Elephas maximus indicus: one gene and its partners. The protein of the gene in region 2 purifies or fractionates together with the protein of the main gene of each other region. This does not show direct contact. Links are inferred from orthologs where the notes say so. Each region holds a gene or a part of one and is shown on either strand. Other genes may lie near its edges.

Evidence for each region. Proteins that work in one complex are often made in the same cells at the same time.
Region 1: the proteins of DCAF1 (region 2) and DYRK2 purify together in Homo sapiens (affinity purification with western blotting; 5 studies listed by BioGRID and IntAct, with this or other methods). This does not show direct contact. The link is inferred for Elephas maximus indicus from reciprocal best matches to the Homo sapiens genes DCAF1 and DYRK2.
Region 3: the proteins of DCAF1 (region 2) and COPS3 purify together in Homo sapiens (affinity purification with mass spectrometry; 5 studies listed by BioGRID, with this or other methods). This does not show direct contact. The link is inferred for Elephas maximus indicus from reciprocal best matches to the Homo sapiens genes DCAF1 and COPS3.

The regions. Positions count from the first base shown.
Region 1 is NC_064822.1:128,254,299-128,262,377, reverse strand, and holds the start of DYRK2 (dual specificity tyrosine-phosphorylation-regulated kinase 2), read right to left. Parts: upstream 3,064-8,079; 5' UTR 2,573-3,063; coding exon 2,524-2,572; intron 1,854-2,523; coding exon 1,705-1,853; intron 1-1,704. UniProt on the Homo sapiens protein: Serine/threonine-protein kinase involved in the regulation of the mitotic cell cycle, cell proliferation, apoptosis, organization of the cytoskeleton and neurite outgrowth. Functions in part via its role in ubiquitin-dependent proteasomal protein degradation.
Region 2 is NC_064838.1:55,676,596-55,683,640, forward strand, and holds the start of DCAF1 (DDB1- and CUL4-associated factor 1), read right to left. Parts: upstream 3,046-7,045; 5' UTR 2,854-3,045; intron 2,425-2,853; exon of another isoform or gene 2,118-2,424; intron 1-2,117. UniProt on the Homo sapiens protein: Acts both as a substrate recognition component of E3 ubiquitin-protein ligase complexes and as an atypical serine/threonine-protein kinase, playing key roles in various processes such as cell cycle, telomerase regulation and histone modification.
Region 3 is NC_064820.1:215,229,494-215,237,334, reverse strand, and holds the start of COPS3 (COP9 signalosome complex subunit 3), read right to left. Parts: upstream 3,064-7,841; 5' UTR 2,957-3,063; coding exon 2,902-2,956; intron 1-2,901. UniProt on the Homo sapiens protein: Component of the COP9 signalosome complex (CSN), a complex involved in various cellular and developmental processes.

The sequences.
Region 1 (8,079 bases), on a different chromosome or scaffold from region 2:
TCTCACTTTCAAAATCAGGCATCTAATTATTAACAACATATTGAAGTTCACTTAAGCTAAAATCAGGTAAATCAGGCAGCTGCCACAACAAAATACACACACCCATCATTAGGAGCTCTGAGAAGCACGCCCACATCTTTTCATTTGGGGTGAACCACAGGCTCTTCTCCCAGTGTAAACCTTTCGTTTTCTCTAAATTCACTGTGTGTTTTAATGACAAAGAGTCTCTGATCAAGCAAAGCCCAACTTTATAAAACTGGAAGCCACACGCAAACCAAGTATTTCTTTCCCAGTTCACACCAAGTTATATGATGACAACACCACGTGAAGAAAGTTGGGTGCTGTATTTTCCAAATTCTCAGATGTTTTGAAACCAAACCAAAAAAATACAAACCCCTAAAACCAATGCAGTTCCTCCACTGAAACGACACTGTGACAAGAACATTCAACCATAATACACAGCATCACCTATGGTACTGACATGACTCTACTGTCAACATCCAATACAGGTTAGTCGACTTCTCTGTAGTGAATTCCTAGCCCCTAGCCCCTGGGACTAATTGTGTCAAAGGAACAACAACAACAAAAACTGAGAACAAAACGTTTTCCTATGAAACTTGTACACGCTTCTCCAGGTCTAACAGGCCTAACTCCACTCCAGTCATCCTCTCACAAATTCTCCTCTGATAAACAGCTTGCCCATAACACATACGTGGCCCTCAGAGCTATTCCCTTGTGGGTTAGAAATGGTCTTTTCAACTTTCACTGGGCAAACCAGCCCTAGCAAGCATCCCTCATACAGAACCATCCTAGGCAGTTTCTCTGGAAAATCCAGCTGGAAAAAGACCTCTGAAACCATCACCTCCTCCAAGCGCAGGCCTCCTCTCCGCTGGCAGTCACCATCCATGGGCAGTCCCTGGGAGCTGAGAAAAGGTACATGCTGAAGTCAAATCCAGTTTGCCAATCTCTGCAGCCACCAGTTCCATGCTGAGCTCTCCCTTCCCTCTGGCCCCCTTAGGGACCCACAGCACCTATCAGGTGCCCTTCCCTTCCCATCTCCAAAGCAAAGCTGACTCTTTCCTTTAGAATAGTGCCCAACTGCAGAATCCTAAAGGGGTGGTTTGTTTTGTTTTGACTGCTGCTGCTGCTCTTATTTTCGTTACTGTTAATTACAATTTCTGCTGCGCTCAAACCTGTAGCACTCATAAAACATGCTTACACACGCGGGGTACAATTGGCAGCGCTCCCTGCTGGCTGGAGAGGCCTGAGAGGCTCTTTGGGGGATTGATTTTCCGGGCTGGACGGCCGGCTGTCCCCTAACACATATCTGTTTCTATAAATACCCACTACCCACAAGGGGGTAGGGATGTTTACCCGGTCAGGGATGGGAGCTCTGGGAAGCAAGAAGGAAAAAAGAGGGAAGAGCGAAGGAAAGCGGCAAGGAGGAAGTTCCGAGGAAGAGGAGGGCAGCGGTGGGCGGGCTCGGGAGGGGAAGTGAGGGCCCACGCCAGGAATCTTCCTTTGTGGCTGCAGCTTTGCGCTCGCCCAACTTACAGAGGGTGGCGTCAAGAGGCCACTGGCCAGGGGCGTGGAGCCGCTCACTTCGACCTCTCTTCTCCGGAAGTCAGAGCCCCACAAGTCCGGAGTTTTTTGCCCCGGGCCCCCTCCCGACCTTCCCCCGGCCGCCCGCGGGCTGGATCTCACCGTGTGGGCTGCGGCGGCAGCGTTGCTGGCCCGGAGAGGCGGCAGGGCGATGGGGGAGGGCGGGCCGGTCCCCACTCCGCTCCGGGGGGCCCCTGCACCGAGCCCCGGGGAAACCTGAAGCTGACGAACGGCGATGTCCCCTCCTCGGCCTGGGACCACGCGCAGGAGGAGACAAAAGAGGGTCAGGGGGTAGAAAATCACCCGGACCCCGTCGCCCCGCCCCACCCCTCTGGGTAGCAAACCCCCCCTCCCCGAGAGAGAAACCGGGAAAGTAAAAAACGGGTAGTGAGCGGCGGAACGGAGGTCCGGGGCGCGGATCTCCAGCGCGCACCCACGGGCGGAGCCCAGGCAGCTGCAAAGTTAAGTCTGGTCCTCGCACGCGAGTTCGCGACCCCTTGGAAAAACCGAGCTAGGCCGGGGCTTCGCGGCCCACGCTGCAGGCAGCAGCTGGCCGAGAGAGGTTAGCGCCGCCGAAGAGGGCTCAACAGACTCCCCAGGCCCCGAGCTGTCCCCTCTCGTCGGCTCCAGCTGGGGGAGGCCCAGGACGGCCCCCGCCCGAACCCCGACGGGCCGGACCACGGCTGGGCCGGCGCACTCCCTCTCGGAGGAACCTTCAGCCCCGCGAGCAACAATGAGCAGAGCCGAAGCGAGGGCGCGCCGTGCGCCCGGGGGGCTCCCCCGCGCCGCCCGGCTGCGCCGGAGACTTTGTTCCAGGTCCAGCCGGCGGCGGCCGCCTGCGCCACGAGGGCTCGCCCGGGGCTGTGCCGGGGCTGGCAGGGGCGGGCGCCGGGGTCGGCTCGCCGGCCCGGCCCTCCTTACCAGTCGGGTAGGCGGCAGGAGCGGCGGCCGAAGGTTTCCTGGTTAACATGGCCGCTGGAAAGGAAAATGCATTTCAGAGCTGCCGTCTCCGCCGCCGCTGCTGTTCCTGCCGCTACTTCTCGAGGCCGCCGCCGCCTCCTGGTCGCTCCTCACGCGGGTCTCCGGCGCCTCCTCCCCGCCTCGCGTCAGCTACAGGCAGACACACACAGTCCGCTGCATCCCCTCGGCCCGGGCCCGCAGCAGCGAGCACCCCGCTCTCCTCCTCGCCGCCGCCGCCGCCGTCCTCCTCTTCCTCGGGCGGCTGCAGCACCCTCCGGCCCGTGCACATGCCTCGCCCTCCCCTGCGCGCCGCTTTTCTCCCCGATTCCCTCACATAGGGGCGCGGGGGAGCGGCCTGGGCCGCGAAGACCGACTCGCTCGGGAGCTTCTTCCTGGGCTCGCTCGCGCGCCCGCGCGCGCGCCCCTGCGCACGCACGTACACACGCGCGCACACACACACACACACACACACACACAAATGCGCACACACACTCCGGCCCCAGCCCGCGGCGCGGACCAGGAGGGCAGCCCCGCCCCCGCTCCCCACTCCCGCTGCAAGCCCCTCCCCCGGACTCCCCCCACACCCTAGCCTCACACCCTCACGTACACCCCACCCCCATCCAGCCACCCTCAGGAGTCCCTCCCCCACTAAATCATCTTCATAACCACCCCTCCACTCCCCGGAAAACTCTGCAGCCTCCGCCTCCCCCTCCGGCCATCTGCGCCGCTCCCCTCGGATCCCCCAGTAATAACCTTTTCCCCACCTCGGCCTTTCCAGCTCCTGCAACGCCCCTCTTTTTCCCTACAGTGCAACTGCTACTGAAATCGCTGCAGAGACCCCTCTCCTTCTATGCGCGCCCCGAAATACAAAAGCATCTTCAGATTTTCGAACCTAATGGGTTCTCGCAAACAATACTGCCCTCCCCCCTTTTTCCGGTCCCCGCCAATAATTTTTCACGTAGATAACTCAGTTTGGGCAGGTCACCTCTAAGAGTCAAGCCCCCTGGAGGACTGCAGTTTAGCTGGGTGACCCTGAACACGGGCGAAGGAGAGGGCGCCCTCCCACCTCCACCTCTACCGCACACACCCTCCCGGATTTACTGACACCAAGTGACCGCTCTCCAGTCGCTATGGCAAGGGGAGGCAGAGTGGCGCGTGTGGAAGGCAGCAAGGGAAGCAGTCGGCTGTGGGTTGCTAGGCAAAAATAAACATCAGAGACACCTCCCATTTCTTTACAACTCTGAGCCTTTCCCCAGAGCAGCCACTGGGAGAAACACACCTTCCTTTCAGCTTTCTGGCATAAGGGAGAGACACCTCTACTTCCTCTCACCTCCAGAGACGAGTCTTTTCCTCTTTCATTCCAAGACACAAAATTTCCCTACCCTTTTGGTTTACCATCTACAACCCCTCTTTCCCTTGAAGGTGAAAAAACTCTTGCCCGTCTCGCACTCGCGCGCCCATAGTGCTTGGCACACGACTTTGTCCAAAGGTCATAGGTTTTGCCACTTCATCAGTTAGGAAAAAAAAAAAAAAAGAAGCCGGGCAAATCCCGGATGAAGCTGCAGAAGGCAATGCTGTGCACTTCCTCCCTGAGAGGTGCCCTGTTTCTGGAGTTCTTCTGGGGACATGAGTCCATTATGCTATGTCCCCGTTATATCTTCAGGCCCTTGCTTGAACCAAGTGTACAGGCCTGAAGAAGCGCAGGCTCAAACCAAATCGTAAGGGAGCCACCTCCTGCTGGAGTCCCATTGGCCCTGCTGTTTGCAAATTGCCATAGCAACCTCCTGCAGAGATCATCCCAAGTGTAGCCAGAGTCCAAGCTACATCCCCACCCTCTGTACTAATGCCGAACACTGTTTCAAGGTTCAGCTTGACTCCCTCAAGGTCTCCCGATCTCCTATGAGGCCTGAAGCGTAGGGAACATTGCCAGAGAGCACGGGTGGCAGAGTAGAATTTTGCCTAGTTATATCCAATAATGTAAGAAAAAAAAAAAATCCATAGGTGCCTTCTAATAAAATATTAAGGAGCCCTACTGGCGCAAGGGTTAAACACCGTGCTGCTAACCAAAAGGTCAGCGATTTAGTACCCACTAGACCCTCTCTTAGACCCTCTTTGGGGGAAAAGACGTAGTGCGCTCCTGTAAAGATTACAGCCTAGGAAACCCTTGTGAGGCAGTTCTACTCTGTCATATAAGGTCCTGTGAGTCAGAATCGACTCAATGGCACACAACAACCATAAAACAGCTAGTACCACAGTAAAATAATCAATCCAATAACATGCCCTTAGAAGAAACAAGGCCTGATCTGGCCCCAGCAAGAAATGCTCTGCTAAACTTGTCATCTAAGGCTATCAAATTCAAATGCACTTGGGAAAACATACTCTGTGTTCAGAAGAATAAACTAAGAGAAAGGCTAATTAGTAGCAAAGACGAAACTAGAGCCCAGGTTTCCCGATTCCCAGTATAATTTCATGTTTCCATTACGCCACCATGGATAGCTCACACCCCTTTTCCTTCCTGCCTCTTTTAAAGTGATTGTTTTCATACCATTTTACTTTTTTAATGAGTACCCCATGCAACTGATGTTCAAAAAAAGTTTGAAGCAAAAAAATCAATTTTAACATAACCTGACACCTGACACATTTTCACTTAAAATATTTTTAAAATATTTTAGTAGAAGCTAAATATGCTGCTGTTTTTTCATGATTATGAAATGTTAAGTATCAAAAAAATGCTAAGTACCAAAAGTCATGGTGACTGCCAAATTAGTAATAATAATTTACACCTTAAATATGAGAAAAAAAGGGGCCTAAAACAATTTTTTTAAATAAAGAGAAACAAAGAATCATTAACTTCAAACAAAAAAGAAAAAAAAATTTAGGGAAATTTTATTGTATATCGTTTCATATACAACTATCAACGTTTCAATTTATATTTTGTTGTTTCTTAATTTAAAGAAAATTTGAATTTACCTAATCCTTAGCTAATTTAATGACAAATGGCAAACTTTGGAAAATGATATTAATTCTTATATATTATAGACCTCTAAAACAGTGTTTACAATTCTTGTAGGTCTCTCATTCTGTTAAATAATGATAACCTCAAACCCGAATGAAGGTCAAATAGATTCACGATTCACTCTTTGGGCTTTTAGAGAGAAGGGACAGGGCAAAACTAGGAGTTATTATTCTCAAACTTTATTACGATAATGTATCGCTATCAATTATACTGTATATTCATCTCTTTATAAAAATCCTTTTGAAAATCTTATCATATTTAATCCTCACAACTTAAAATCAGACCAGAGCCATGTTGACTTTAAATAGCAACCTCCTCAGCAGGTTCCATTCAGTTAGTAAGAGTGTCTGCTTTTTGATTTTTTGGCCATTGTAAAAACTGTTCTGTAGTTTATAAAATCCAGCTTTAACTAACAAGTAGGTAGTCAGGATGTAGCAGGACTAGAGGGAAAACAATTTTGAGGGACTCAAAAAAAAAAAAATTTTTTTTTTCTTCATAATTGAGCCTTTTGGAAGGAAGTTAATTTTCCACTGGGAAAAGTACTGATCACAAAGAAAATTAGAAATGAACAAGAAAATTGCTCATTTCAAACACATTCACTCGTCTAATCCCCTTATCCCAGAAACGTCTAGGCCTAGGGGACATAATGAATAATCAGATGTAATGGACTAGGCTTTGGTTGGATAATCTCTTAGGAACTCATTCTATTATTCAATTACACAATAAACATTAAGCACCTAACATAATTTTGACACTATTAGCACCAAGACTACACAGTTAAATAAATAATCCCTGACGCTAGCTCTGGTCATTGCTATTAAGAAGTTTATGATTCAGTAGGGGAGGTAAGACATTTAATGATATGATAGGGGTGAAACACGAGGCATATAGGCACAAGGGTGGTACACAGGTGGTTCACAGTGATGAACTCTACTTAAGTGGTGTTTGACATCAAAGAGGCTGTGCTTCAGTGAAAGTTTTAAGCATACTTGGGAGTTTGCCAGTCAGACAAGCTGGGCAAGGACATTCTAGGGCAAAAAAAAAAAAAAGAAAAAAACTGTAGAGGTGCCAAAGTGTGAGAAAGCATAGTTTGTTCCCGAAAGTGTGAGCAATTCAGAATAGAGGGACCTTGGGTTGACAGGGAGAAGGGTGGTGCTGTTATCTTCATAGGGTTAGAGCTATGAATAGATTGATTCAGGTTAAGAAGTATTCCAAATTTCTCCTCCTGTGGAAATGTGAACGCAAGGTACAGGTCTTTTGAAAGAACTAGGTAGAAGAGTGGGTAATGTGGGTTTAGCTCCCTTTAGGAGAACATCATGAACTGATTGGTCATTTCCTGGGTCCCTTCCATGAGTCCATCACCACGGTCCAATACCATCTAAAGAAGACTATGAAGATCTTAAGGTCTGAAGTCCATGAAGGTGACTTCCTCAGATCCAGTGGGCATGGGCATCATAACTAAATGACCATAAGGTATCCAGATTTGCCTCTGGAAGGTGGATCTGTGGCCATAGCTGGTGTGGAAATCAAGAAGAGATTTCTATACCACTAGAAAGTTGATGATCTAAAGCAGACTGTTTGTGTTTTGGCCAGGGTACATTCAAAAGTCAGTTTTCTTAAGCCTAGGTGACGTAGGGTGCATTTTTCCCCGAGGCAAGCTGTGTATCTGGGCACACTGAGGATGTAGTCCAGCATTTTGTGGGATCAGTTGGTCTGCTTTTTCTATCTACACCTCGAGGACAGAGTTAATGTTAAAAACCAAGAAGTGGGAAAAGAGAAAGCTATATCCTACAAGTGGGGAGGGCTTTGATACAGAGCTATAGACAAAGCTCAGTAGAACTTCTGCCCAAGACAAACCTTTGGAACCACCATGACAAATGCCAGCAAAGAGGTGCCCAGTGTCCATCAGCTTGGAAGGGTAGGAATGTCATCACTACGTAGGGACCCCAGCAGCTGGCCCCCAGACTAGTCCTTTCATGGTAGTGGCCACTATTGGAACAGCTCATAGATATGTCGCCAGTGGAATCTGCTTCCAGGAAACAGGCGCATCAGGCTGCACGGGGAGCAGCAAGCTAGGTACAGGCTGATTCCCAGGCAGAGGGAATCACACTGGGAGCTGTATCACTTTACACAGGTAAAGTGGTAGCAGAAGTTATGAGGGAATCTCTCTACTAGAGTGTTTGCTATGAGGGGAACAATGATACAATTTTGCAAACCAGAGAAGAATAGGGAGAAGGATCTTTTGGCAATCCAGGTCTTGTGGTTTCTAGTTCCACTCTAATCAGAATAATTTCATGCGGTAGCTGTTGTTTCTAGGTACCATCGAGTTGGTTCCAACTCATAGCCATCCTGTGTACAACAGAATGTAACACTGTCCAGTCCTGCACCATCCTCACAATCATTGTTATGCTTAAACCCATTTTTACAGCTACTGTGTCAATCCACCTCATTGAGGGTCTTCCTCTTTTTCAGTGACCTTCTACTATACCAAGCATGATGTC
Region 2 (7,045 bases):
ATAAGACCAAAGGTCAACAATTACTTTAAAACAAAGATAAGAATGTAAGGGGGCAGGAAAACTAAATAAACAGAAAGGGAACAACCAGAAGGAAAAGAGAATGTTCACACATTGTCAAGAACATAAGCAATGTTACTGAACAACTTGTGCAAAAACTGTTGAATGGGAACCTAAATTGCTGTGTAAACCTTCACTGAAAACACATTTAAAAAAAAAAAATACAGTACATAAATAAAAATCTGGATGGGTAGAAATGTATTCATTTTACTATTCTTTAACTTTCCTGTATGTTTGAAATTTTTCTCAGTAAAAAGTTGGAAAAAACTAAGCAGCATTTTCTTTCCTGAATTGGATCAACTCTCAAACACATGTCAAGAGAGGAAAGCAAGGGGCAGAACTCTATAAACATATTTGTTGTTAGTTGCCATCGAGTCAATTCGGACTCACGGCAACCCCATGTACGCAGAGTAGAACTGCTCCGTAAGGTTTTCAAGGCTGTGACCTTTGGAAGCGCATTACCAGGCCTGCCTTCTGAGGTGCCTCTGGTTGGATTTGAACGGCCAACCTTTCAGCTAACACTGTACCTGAGTGCTTAATCACATGCGCTACCCATGGATGCTATCATTGTGAATGAGAAAGGTGGGTGTGTGTACAAGTGTATATCTACATCTACCTACCTGTCTCTCTTCCTTCTAGGATAAAAGGCCCCTGGAAGAATAAGGAAACTAATTGTATCTATTACTCTTCTGGCAGGTAACTTTCTGGGTGATAAAGGTAGGAGAGAGATTTTTTCACTTTTTACTCCAGCTCTACCTTTTTCCCACTATAACCTTCAGTAACTTTTTAATATAACCATAAAATCTGTTCTTAGTTCTAATACACAATAGCAAATGCCTATTCTGCAGAAACTATCCCAAAGCCAAAAATAAAGTCCATATTAAAGACAAAACCAAAAAAACTAAATCCACTGTCATGGAGTCACAGCAACCATATAGGACAGAGTAGAACTGCCCACGGGGTTTTCCAAGGCTATAAATCATTATGGACACAGACTGCCACATTTTCTCCCACAGAGCAGCTGATGAAGTGGTGGTGGGTTGCAACCTCCAACCTTTTGGTTGGCAACCAAGCGCTTTAACCACTGTCCACTAGGCTCCTCATGTTAAAGACAGGTCCCTTAAAACGTTACAATACTGAAACAACCATCTGTGGGGGAGGGGGGGAATCCAAGTTTAGAGCTTCAAGTAAAAATTTACGGAATAATTACTATTAAAATACGAGAACATATAACCTATTTAGTACCGTCCATGACCATCTCCTTTACAAAAACAACACAAGAAAATTGGCAATAAACCAACTCCAACCACTTCAAATTAACGAGTGGTTCATTCTACCAGATTCCTCCCCTATTTAAACAGCTATACAACAGGTAGAACAGTAAAACACTATTCAGCAACTACCCAAGAGATGTTGAGCGTAAGATGACTCCGTTAAACTCCCACCAATTCTGTGTCTATTATCTCTTTTCTTGTCGTGTGCCGTCGAGTCAGACTCACAGAGACCCTATAGAACACAGCAGAACTGGCCCATAGGGTTTCCTAGGCTGTAATCTTCACGGGAGCTGACTCTCTGCTCTTGAGGAGCCCCTGGTGGCTGGTGGGTTCGAACTTCCGACCTTCAATTTGCAGCACAGAGCTTAATTACTGTGCAACCAGGACTCCTTATTATCTCAACATCCAAAAATTTATCGCCACTCGAAAGTGGGTAATGAATACTGCTACGTACAAAGCCAAATCTTGACAACATCAAGTAGAAAAATATCAAATCAATTTCTAATTAAAGAGTCTAAATATACACGCTTCACAAACCTTAAAGGTAAACGCCTGCAAATGACAGGGTGACGGCAGTGGTTTTTACTACCAATGAACCCTTCAACCTGTACATTAAAGAAGCGTTTAGAACAGGAAGATGCTGCTACATGAATTAATAATTAAAACATGTAGGCTAATTAAAATGTTTCAATGAAAAGATAAAGTACGAAAGACTGAGACCAACACAAAGCAGACAAAGACGAGCCATTTGGGGCTCAAAAAGTACTACAAACACTCCAAACCTACTTTCTCAACAAATGGGAACCCAGAGCGCTACTACCGCAGTAAGAGGAAGCGAGACGGAGAGCGTTTAGAAAGAAAAGAGCTAAGCGAACACCTCTGACACCCTGTCGAAAACTGTAAACCCGGAAACAGGCTGCCGGAAAGTCGGCCCCACGCTGAGGGACCCGCACACCTCTCCAGGCCCCTCCCCTCCACCGCTGGAGTGAGAGGAATGCCCGGAAAGCCCCGCCCCCCGCCCCGTCCGAGAGCAGGGCGGGCGGAAGGGGAGGTGGCACGAGGCCGAGGGAGGGAGAGACCGCCCAGGTGACTGGGACTGGAGGCGGAGACACCGTCCGGGAAGGGGGCCGCCGTACGGCAGGGGAGATGGAGACCCCCGGCCCGTACGGAACGAAGGCTGGGAAGACTGAGAAAAAAGGTGATGAAGGGAATGAGCGGCGCCCCTTCTCCAGGTAGGGGCGGGCATGCCCCTGCCCCCTATTCCGGGCGGAAAAGTACTCTCGGGAAGCTTCTTTTGGGGACTAGAGGAAGACTATGGAGGCCCCGCCCCCGGGTCAAGAATCAAGAGGAGAAAAAGGGACTGTCAAGCCCTGGGCCCAGCCTCTCCGCCGGCCCGCCCCCTCCCCGCCCGCGGCCCAGGCAGGTGCCGCCCCTCCCCCAGCCCGGCGCCCACTCTCCCGCCCGCGCGTCCTGTCTCTCCGCCCCTCTCTGGGAGAGCCGTATCCCTCCCTTCCTCACTTACCTTCCCGGGCGGCTCCGCCGCTCCCGCCTGACCCCGCCAGCGGCCACAGTTCACACACGCACCGCCTCAAGTCCCGCACTCACACTCTCCCTCACTCACACACACACACACACACACACACACACACACACACAGACACACACAGCGCGACCACGGCTCCTGAGCGGCCCACATATTATACGTCACTCGCTGGCTACGTACCCCGCGCGCGCGCCGAGTTGGCGCCAGGCTCGCGGATAAGGGGCGGGAGAACGCTAACGCAACGCAAGCAGAGGAAAATCGGCGGGTCCCGAGGCCGCCTGGGAAATGTAGTTCTGCTTTTAGGGGCGCGGCCCACCCATCCTGATTGACGCACAGTGACATTGCTTTCTGGGATTTGTAGTTTTTACTGTAGGCAGGAACTGCTGTGGACTCATTGGCGTCTGGGGAAGGCGGAAGTGAAGTGAAGGACCGTCCGGCAAGGCAAGGCTGTGACAGCTTGATACTTTCGCAGTTCTCAGCACCTTATGTACGGTAAAACCAAAACTAAACCCATCGCTGTCGATCGATTCCCGCTCATAACGACCCTATAGGGCAGAGTAGAACTGCTCCATAGGGTTTCCAAGGAGCGGCTGGTGGATTCGAACTGCTGACCTTTTGGTTAGCAGCCACAGCCCTTAACCACTACGCCACCAGGGTTTCCTTGTGTACGGTTCAGTAATTACGTGGTGATGGGTCAATGGTCAACCCCAGAACTTCATGTAAATTCCAGTCACCGAAGGAGCTCAGAGACCTGGTAGAACATCCCCTTTTACAGATGGAGAAACTGAGGCTCAGGGTGCTGAACTAGGTCTCGTGAGTCATGGTCTCAGAGTTCCTTTGACTACAAAGCACAAACGACCCCCAGTATTTGGGGATGCTGGCATTCGACCAAAGGTCATTCAGTAGTATCAAAATTTGAAGGAGTCTTGGCGGCCCAGTGGTTAAGAGTGCCGCTGCTAAGCAAAAGTCGGCAGTTGGAACCCACCAGCTGCTCCCCGGCAGAACGATGTGGCAGTCTGCTTCGGTAAAGATTTACAGGCTTGGAAACCCTATGAGGCAGTTTTACTCTGTCCTGTAAGTTCGTTATGAATCAAAATCGACTCAAGAACCATGGGTTGGGTTGGATTTTATCAAAATTTGCCTATCAAAATTTAAGTCGCAGGTACCCCATGACCCCACTGTTCTGCTTCTGAAACGCCACCCTATAGAAACATGTGCTGTTTAAAATAGACAAGGTACTACTGACTGGAGGGATGTCCAAAACCTAGTGTAAGTAAACAAAGCAAGGTGGATAATTCCTCATGATTTCATATATATGTTTTATAAAAAATCCTAAACGTGTAATGTAGACTTTTGTATATAAGTGTATAGGAAAGGGATTAAGAAGGACATGTGCCAAAATGTTTAACGGTGATTATCCCTAGGGATAGTGCAGTGCAAAGACCGCTTTAGCGTGGCCTTCCTCACCATGGTCCTATAACTCCCACCCAAGTGATTGGTTGGGACTGTGCAAATAAGGTAATTGTGGCTGACCAAGGGGATTGATCGGCTTTGCCATCCCGCTAGGCTTAAAATGAGCCATCCCACAGGTGGGAAGAGAGGCTCTCACCACCACCAAGGAAGAAGAACCAGGAGCGGAGCGCGTCCTTTGGACCCAGGACCTCTGCACTGAGAAACTTGTAGAACCAGGTGACCAAGAAAGATAAAGAGCTATAACGCTGAAGATGGTAAGAAGTGGTGGCAGAGAAAAGGCAGCAGGAGACGGTGCAGTGGACTTTCCAGCCCACGGATGGAGAAAGCTGAGCACCTTCAGGCAGGAGGCTTGTTGGAAGAGTAGGGTGCCTCCAGACACTTGGTAGAGCTAGGTTTGCTGATCCACAGAGCTAGAGCTAAGCACCTACCCATGGAGGCCTCTTGGAGGAGTGGGGTGCCTCAGGGCACTTAACAGCAGAGCTAAAAGATCTTTTTAACACTTGCCCAAGCAGGAAAGAGGTGAGGGAACCAGAGAGAGGCATGCCTGGGAGCATGGCTGAGAAGAGGCTGTCTTGATGGAAGAACTATATCCTGAGCGTTCCTGGACCTGAATTGTAACCTGTTGCTTCCCTAATAAACCTCATAATCGTGAGTATCGTCTGTGCGTTCTGTATGGCCATTACAATGAATTATTGCATCCAGCAGAGAAGTAGAGAATGCTGTCAGAGGTAAAGACGGCAGAGAGAGGAAGCATGCCTGACCCTGCCTCGTAGGAAATCAGCCTTGGGCTGTTGATCATGATACTCCTTTGACCTTGTGAAGTTAGAGGAGGTGCCATGGCCGTGCCATTTTTACAGATGGGAAAAAGTGAAGGGGACTTGTGTATTTTACTACATGTACTTCTGTATTGTTTGTCCTTTTAATGCAAGAAATTTTTTATGTATCCTTTGTAATGTCTTTAAAAAAATTCCACCTGTCCTTAAAGGCTTCATTCAGTAGCTATTTTCTTCCTTTATTTTCTCCTCCAATCTGAGATGGCTGCTCACTCCCCCAACGTCTCCTGTGTTTTATATTCTACTCTGTGTGTCAGTATAGCCTCTGTCCCATTTCCCCCCATCATACCTAGAACATACCAGGATCTAAGAAAATATTTCTTGCAAGAATAAATACCAGAAATTACAGCACTCATTAAACAGAAGGCACTGTTTCGTTTGTTTGTTTGCTCTTTATCTTTCTGTTCAAGACGTCAATAAATATGTATTCCCAGGTTTATATGTGAGGCAGAGAAAAGGAAAAATCAGAAGCCGAGGACTTTTGATTGGACTGACCTCAGAGGCCATCTCATTCAATTCTTTCATTTTGCAGTTGAGAAAAATGAGGCCCAGAGAGGGTGAGTGGCTTGCCTAAACATTGCAAAACAAATTTAACAGTAGAACCAGAATGAATCCTGACTCTCAATCAAAGATCCCTCTTTGGGGATATGAAAGATAAACATAACTCCTTAGTTGAGTGGTTTCTCCACCTGACAAAATCCTGTCCAGCCTGAAGGCCCAACACAACTCATTATCTCTCTGGGAGTCCTGAGCAAGTTCCTGGTCTAACCATGCATTTCTAAATGGAGAAAAGGAGACACAGTGAGCCTGCTGCCATGCTCAGGTCCCATAACTAGCCAGGGCCTGGATGTTCAGCCTGTGATTGCATTCCCCACTGTCTTAGTTATCTAGTGCTGCTATAACAGAAATACCACAGGTGGATAGCTTGAAAAAACAGATTTATTCTCTCACAGTCTAGGAAGCTAGAAGTCAAATTGAGGGTGCCAGCTCCACGGAAAGACTTTCTCTTTCTGTCAGCCCTGGGTGAAGCTCTTGGTCATCAATCTTCCCCTAGATCTAGGAGTTTGTCAGCATGGGTCCAAAGGTTGAACTCTGCTCCCAGGTCTTCTTTCTTGGTGGTAGGAGGTCTTTCTCCTCTCTGCTGGCTTCTTATATCTCAAAAGAGACTGACTCAAGGTACAACCTAATACTATAGACTTTGTCCTGCCTCATTAACGTAATTGTCTCTAATCCTGCTTCATTAACATCATAGAGCTTAGGATTTATAATACAAAGCATAATTACATCCGACCATAAAGTTGGAGACAACCACATAATACCAGGAATCAGGGCCCAGCCAAATTGATGTGAATTTTTGGGGAACACAATTCAATCCATAACGTTCCACCCTTTGGCCCCCTAAAATTCATGTCCTTGCCACATGTGAAAGACATTCACCCCATATTATCCCAAAAATCTTCTGCAAAATTCCCCTTCATCTGTGAAATTTAGAATACAAGTTACCTGCTTCTAAAGCTCAGTGGAACAGGCACAAGGTAGACATTTCCATTACAAATGGGATAAATTGGAAGGAAGGGATAACAGGGAACAATCAAGTCCAAAACTCATCAGAACACATTACATTAGCTCTCAAGACTTGAAAATAATCCATTCCCTGGGACAATTTAGGCAATGACCCTGCCCTCCAAACTCTGGGTGTTGGCCACACTTTCTGGATTCTGGGTGGAGGCTCCTGAGCCCTGGGCTTCAACTCTGCTTTTCAGCCCCACTGGGACGGCAACTCTGCTCTCTTGGATTTTGGCGGCCCCATTCTCCTAGTCCATCCGAGTGGCGACCCTGCCCCCTCAGACCCAGCGGTCCCCATT
Region 3 (7,841 bases), on a different chromosome or scaffold from region 2:
ATCTTATATGCACGTGAAAGCTGGACAATGAATAAGGAAGACCGAAGAATAACTGACGTCTTTGAATTGTGGTATTGGTGTAGAATACCGAATATACCATAGACTGCTAATCTGTCTCGGAAGAGGTACAACCAGAATGCTCCTTAGAAGGATGGCGAGACTACATCTCACATACTTTGGACATGTTATCAGGAGGGATCTGTCCCCAGTGCTTGGTAAAAGAGAGGGTCAGCGAAAAAGAAGGAAACCCGCAACGAGATGGACTGACACAGTGGCTACAACAATGGACTCAAGCATACCAACAACTGTGACAATGGCGCAGGACTGGACAGTGTTTCGTTCTGTTGTGTGTGGGGTCCCTATAAGTTGGAACCGACTCAAGGGCACCTAACAACAACTTAACAACAACACTGTTACGTTTTAACAACTAAGGTACAGAATTTAATTGGGCTTGAATTGTTCCTTTTGAGTGGACTTACCCATTTTGATAATTATTCTGATGACAGATGCCATGGTCACACTGTATACTACCATATTCTACTGGCTGTTTTATTGAGAGTGGTAGGTGTATATACAAGTCCATGGGCATTAGTCTCTTAAGTTTCCTCCTTCGATGTTTCTCTTCTACATTTTGAACTTCAAGGTACCAATATTAGCTATTTCTATTTAGTAGCTGTGTTATGTTTCCTTTCTTAATAAAACACTTAAATAGAATAATGCTTAAAATCCAAGCGATTGTAGCCACGCACCTTGATAATTTAATTTCTGGGGTATCTATACCATACTTTTTAGATTTGATCACTTTTACCAAAAAATAAAGGAAACATTTCATTATTATTACATGCATCACAAAACAAGAATAAACATATACCCATGATCTTATTAGGTATCAAGTTTCAAGATAAAAACACAGATTGAACTGAGAACTATCATGTCACCATCATTTTATCAGAGATCTCACTAAAAAATAAAAACCAGACCTGTTGCCATCAAGTTGATTCTGATACAGAGCAACCCTATAGGACACAGAAGAACTGCCCCACAGGGTTTCCAAGGAGTGGCTGGTGGATTCGAACTGCCAACTTTTTGGTTAGCAGCCCCAGCTCTTAACCACTGTACCACCAGGGCTCCATAGATCTCACTAGTAGGTATGAAATAATCAGCTTCTTCTAGTTGAATTACTTGCCCCTTTTTTCTTTAAATACATTTACAACAATATGACACATCCAGAAGCAAGCATTTCAGCCCATTATTTTCCCTCCAATTAAATAACCAGGCCAAGTTGAGACAAATATAAGCTGGGCCACCGGAAAATCATGATAGTGCCCAGCCAAGAGGAAAGTCAAAAGTCAGTTTCAGTGCGTCAAGGTGCACTGAAATGAACACAACCAGAGATGCTGCCTATGAAATTCCCTCTAGTTAGAGAAAGTTGGTAATTATAACATCCCCATCATTTAAGGTCCATGTTAGAAAATTCTGAATAAAAGCAGAGAAAATAGCAAAAAAATCATTTAATCTGCAGTGAGCAGGAGGCACAGAAACTGAGGGCAGTGAGTGTATTATACTCACCTCTGACTGGCAGACTGCCCCTAAAACGGTGTCTTGCCAAGTATGTACCCAAAGCTTTCAGGTAAGGGATCCCATGTGATTTGCACAACAGTCCTATTACCATTTTATAAAAAAGGAAATTGTGCCAGAGAAATTAAGCGACTGAGATTCCAACTGGGCTCTTCTAACCACATGACATCGCAGGAAGTACAAACTAAGTGTGTGTGGAATAAATGAACGGTTCCCTCATTCATACAGAAATGCAAGTCTATCCCTCTTCTGTGAGCCAAATTTCTATCACTAATAAGGAAAATGAGCGAGAACTATTATGTATTAAGCACGGCTACACAGCAGATCATTCAGGGCTTACAATAACAGGGAGGGAAATATCACATCTTCATTTTTACAAAGGAGACTCAAGAGATTAAAGGTGACTCGTCCAAGATCGCACAGCTCCTAGCATGTTACAATTAATGGCTGTTAACAATAATTTTTAACTTTACTTATTGCCCTTTATATGGCAGGCACTGTTCCAAGTGCTTTTATACACGGTTTCTCTCACCGAATCCTCATAACTTTATAGATAGCACGAGATAGCTAAAGGGGCCTTCGCATCTAGTATCTAATTTCTCTAACTCCTGAGTCCAGGAGTCTGGCCGGTGCTCTACGTTCAGATGTTGAGATGAATGAGCCTAACAGCGAAATTAAGAGGAAAATAATAACGGGAACAATTCTACCCCTAGAAATGGAGTCCTATGAGCGAGGGTGTCTTCTGCATCTGTAGGACTCAAATAGGCGCGCAGAGGCGTCCCGGGCGTGAGCCGGTCAACAGCCGCAGGGGCCGGGCGGGGGGACGCAGGCGATGCTGAAACCGTGGCGCCGGGCGCCCTGGATTGTTTCGCTGCCCGCCCGGCCCCGCGGCCTAGTCAGCAGGCGGCCCAGGGCTGCCGGGACCGACAGGTAGCTCACCAATCACCGACGGGAAGGGCGAAGGAAGGGGCCAATGGGCGCCCGGAAGAGTCCGGCGGAAGTTGCCGCCCCCAAACTGTCAAGAGCAGCGCCCCGTGGAAGGGGCCCGGGCCGGGTGGACGAAAGAGAGGGTCCGCGCGGCCAAGGGAGGGCTGGCGGCGGGCCCCGAGGGTAGCGGCGGCGATGGAGACTGAGACCGAAGGGGGCGGCTCAGTCAGCAGCGCCCGGCCCTCGGTCTCAGCGCCGCCGCCTCGAGCCCAGTCCCAGACAAGGGTCTCGGGACGAAAAGGGCAGCCCGCCCGTCCGCGCCGGCGTCGGGGCCACAGCCCCATCACCTGGGGGCCTGGCGGGCGCGCCAGACCCAGCCACGGCCCGTGGCCTCACCTTGAGCCGAGAGCTGCCGGACACTGTTCACGAACTGCTCCAGGGCAGACGCCATGTTTCCCCCTGGCTGCCCAAGCAGCAGAGGCAGCTCGGCGGGAAAAAGCGGCCGCTCGGGGAGGAGGGGCGGCACCGGTTCACCCGAGGGCCTACCGAAGGGTGTGTCGTCACTTCCGCCTGCTCAAGCACCGCGAGAGCTCACCTGCCTGGGACCCGGTTACTGTTTCCGTGGAAACCGTTCCGGTACTCGCCGTAGCCGGAAATTAAATTTCTCTTTTTTTTAATCCTGTGCTCTAGTGTAATAGGTCCCCACAGCCATCTTGAGCCAAAGGGAGAAACAAAACTCATAATGTAGGTCATATTTTCAGCTTCTGTTAGGATGGCTGCCCCGTTTATCCACCTAGCCAAATGCTTCAGACCCGGCTCACTGACCACCTCTTCCGAAAGTTTTCTCCTATGAGGTAGTGGAGCATAGATTCTGAAGCCAGGCAGTCTGGGTTAGAAATCCCCTTTCTGTTGCTTGGGAACTGTGTGACCTTGAGCAACTTACTTGATCGGCCTGTGCCTCCGATTCCCCACATGTAAAATTCGCACAGTGACGTCAACAACCTACAGCACTTAGAACAGTGCCTAGCACATAGAACTATACGTTAGATACTTGATGGATAAATTGGTTTTCCTTTCTGGAATTGAAACCCTCGTGGTGTAGTGGTTAGGTGCTAAGGCTGCTAACCAAAAAGGTCGGTAGTTCGAATCCACCTGGTGCTCCTTGGAAACTCTATGGGGGCAGTTCCACTCTGTCCTGTAGGGTCCCTATGAGTCAGAATTGACTCCGCAGCGATGGGTTTGGTTTTTCGTCTCTGGAATTGATCTGTCCCTTCACCACTCTACTCCCTAAGCAGTTTGTACTGCTCATGTGGCCATTTCTTTTTTTTTTTTTTTTAATTAGTACCGTATCCATTGCTAGTGAGTTCCATGAAATCAAGCATCTGTCTTAACTCCATTCCGTTTTCGGGGCTAGCACAGGATTTAGTGCATATTAGGGACTGAATAAATACTCATTGCGAAAACTTCAACTAGTATTTATTGAGCACTGTTACCAATCGAATTGTGTCCCCCCAAGATGTGTGTCAACTTGGCAAGGCCATGATTCCCAATATTGTGTGATTGTCCACCATTTTGTCATCTGATGTGATTTTCCTAGGGGTTGTAAATCCTAACCTCTGTGATGTTAATGAGGTGGGATTAGAGGCAGTTTTGTTAATGAGGCAGGAATCAATCTACACGATTATGTTGTATCTTGAGATATAAAAGATCGAAGCAAACAGAGAGTCAAGGGGACATCATACCAAGATGTCCAGAAGAACAAAGTGTTATTTGGCTAGGATCCTTGTGCTGAGAAGCTCCTAGACCTGGGCAAGATTGATGACAAGGGCCTTCCCCCAGAGCCAACAGAGAGAGAAAGCCTTTCCCTGGATCTGGCACCCTGAATTCAGACTCCTATACTGTGAGAGAATAAATTTCTGTTTGTTAAAGTCATCCACTTGTGGTATTTGTGATAACTAAGACAAGCACCTACAATGTGCTAGTTTCTGTGCTAGGCACTGGGGATACACTCGTGAGTAAAAACAGCTATGGTCCTCCTTTCATGCAATAAAGACTAGAAAAAAGGGGTCAGTGCTGTTTAGGAATGGAACTTGGTTCTCTAAGATCATGCAACATGGCAGTGACAGGGAAGGTTTTCTTGAGGAAATAACACTTAAACAGAGCTCTGAAGGAAGGGCAGGAGTTAATAAGCAAAAAAGGAAAGAAAGTTTCCTATGTGAGGGAACAGCATGTGCCAAGACCCTCGTATGGGAGGGAGCATGCTATTTGAGGGAGGAACTAAATGCAGGTCCTTGGGGTTTGAGGGCAGTGGTATGGGGTGAGACTGCAAGGTAGACATGGATGTGGTGTAAGACCTAAAATTAAGGTTCATTATGTGCTGCCTTGACATCTGAAACCATAAGGGCCTCAAATGGCCTCACCGCATGTTTCCCTACCCACTCTGCTCTTGCGGATAAGGTGCCCTACCTAAACAACCTTTCTTATCTAAGGTACCAGGCACAGTTCCTGAATATTGGGTTTTAGTTCCCTGCCAGATTGGGGAATTACTCAAACAAGTGTTGTAGAGAACAGACTCTCCAACTCTATTAAAGTAAAATCAAAGGGATTTATTGAAGCCAATATATCATTCAGATGGGGATCTTGGAAACCTCAGAGTCTGAAGTTCACAGATCCAAGGGAGGGGGTGCAAATCATACATAGCTATAGTGCCATAGGAAGAACTACAGAACACAATATTCTGATTGGTTCACAATGATTTAGGTCAATCAAAGGCGGGACAAAGCAAAGCGTGATTTTTAACATTATTGGTTACATTAATACAGCTGGAATACACTGATTGGCTGAAGGACATAATTGCAAGGTATGTGGTCTCAGAGGGAGTGTCATGACCGTCACAAAAAAATGGCGTGGTGGATACTGTTGGGAAAGTGTTAACATTACCTTGCCCAGAGCATAAAATCTCCTGAGGGGATCTGAAACAAAGGGTTTAGATATGGTTTAGTTATAGACCACAGGACATACAGTATCTACTTTTTTAACCAAGAAAACCATTTCCTTAATGATAGGGATGGTTCCTAAGCAATAGTGTTGGAATCTGTGTGAAAGGTTACACTGAGCCATAGCATTAGTTCAGCCATTTTACTTGAGGTCAGATGCCACTTGATTTTATATTCCATGTCACAAGCCAATCATATTCTCCCATCAGAACGAGGGGCACGCCACCCACTTGGCGCTGCAAAGCCTGCCTCCCACAGCCCCTGCTTGTTCACTTTGCTCCCAAGTACAACCCTACGTGGCCCTGCAAGACATGTGATGTCCTCCTCTTGCAAGATGTGAGTATATGTGACTAATAATCTGTTGGTCTCACCTGTCCAGGGTTGGGTGTACATCAAGGAGCTGTACTTTAAATGGCCCTTCTAGCCATGATCTTGGGATTCCCACAAAATGATTGGGTGGATTATGCAAATAAGGTGCTTGCGGACCAAGGGGATTGGACAGCCTGCTAATAATGCAGATAAGGTACGTGGAAACCTGCAGGGGTGAGACTATGTAAATAAGGTGTTTGGAACCCTTATAGGGGATTGGTCAGTTTTGTCATCCCACTAGGCTTAAAGGGAGCCAATCCCAGAAGCAGAGGGTGACTTGTACCATCAAGAAGAGCAAGGAGCAGAACACGTCCTTTGGAGCCAGGGTCCCTGTGCTGAGAAGCTCCTACACCCAGGAGACAAGACAGCTGTAACACCAGTGCTGGCTTAAAGATAGTGAGAAGTGGCGGCAAGCATGGCAGAGTCTAATGGCAGAGAATCAGCAGCAGCAAAACTAGGAGACTGGTGCAAGATGGCACAGTAAACTTCCCAGCCCACGGAGCGAGGTGGCTACAGTGGGCTTCCCAGCCCACTGAGCAAGAGAGCTAAGAGCGTTCATACAAGAGGCTTCCTGGAGGAGTGGGGGACCTCTGGGCACTTATTGGTGGAGCTAAAAAGCTTCGTAACACTTGCCCTAGCAGGGCAGAGACCAGGCTGAGGGGCAAGCCGCCCATGGAGTGGCCTGCCTTCAGGCATGGCCGAGAAGATGTTCCCGATGAAAGACCTGTATCCTGAGTCATTCCTGAGCCTGAATTGTAACCTGTTACTTCCCTAATAAACCCCAGAATTTGTGAGTATAGGATATGAATTCTGTGTGGCCAGTGCAATGAATTGTTGAACCCAGCAGAGAAATAGAGAGTGCTTTCAGAGGGACATCTGGTGTCAGAATCGGTAAAAAGTCTGGAGAGTGGAGGTATGTCTGACCTCTGCCTCACAGGGATCAGCCTTGGGCTGATGTCGATGGTAATTCTCTCTCTCTCTGAAGTTAGACGAGGTCTGGCATCATGACATTTTTACAGGCTCATCTCCTGTAAACTGTGTTAGAGATACTCGGCTTTTTCCTGAGAAGATTGAGAAGCCATCAGCGAGTTTTATGCAAGGGGGTAGTGTGATAGGATTACATTCAGAAAAAACTAGTCTGCTTTCAGGTGGATAACTTCAGAGAGCCAGTTAGGAGCTGACATGAGTAGTTGACATGAGATAGGATAGTAGTAATTGCACTTTAAAAGTTGAGATGGAAATAAATTGGTGGACATGAGACGTGTTTAGATGAATGAGTTTAACACTTGTCACTCGAAGATGGCAATGCCCCTGAACACTTCATGGCAGCAAGTGGCCCTCAATCTTTGATCTCTTGTGGTACACAAGACAGATATTTTGACACATAGGACATGTTTCCGTAAGTGTACGCAGATTTTAATGAGAGCCCAAAACATATTGCAGAGAGGTAAAGCATTACAGCAATTCATAATACCCACAATGTTTTCTTAGACTGTGGCAGTGGTTCTCAAACTGTAGTTCCCAGAGCAGCATCACCATCCCTGGAAACTTGATCGAAATGCAAATTCTTGGGCCCCACTCTACACTTGCTACCTTAGAAACTCTGAAGGTGGTGCTTAACAATCTGTTTTAGTAAGCCCTGCAGGTAATTCGCTTGGCTGCTACAAAAGGTTCTGCAGTTCGAATCCACCAGCCGCTCGTTGGAGACCCTACGGTCCAGTTCTACTCCGTCCTAAAGGGTCGCTATGAGTTGGAATCAACTCGATGGCAATGGGTTTGGTTTTTGGCTTGCAGGTGATGCTGATGCACACTGAAGCTTAAATACCTGGATAGTGGCAAATGGACCAGGATAAACGTCACACTCATTTCAAAATAGCTAAGAGTAATTCCACCCTTCTTTCTTCCTCTCAAGGATAAAGTGATTGAAAGAGATGTGATTACAGGGATAACCTTGAATATATTCTAACTTTT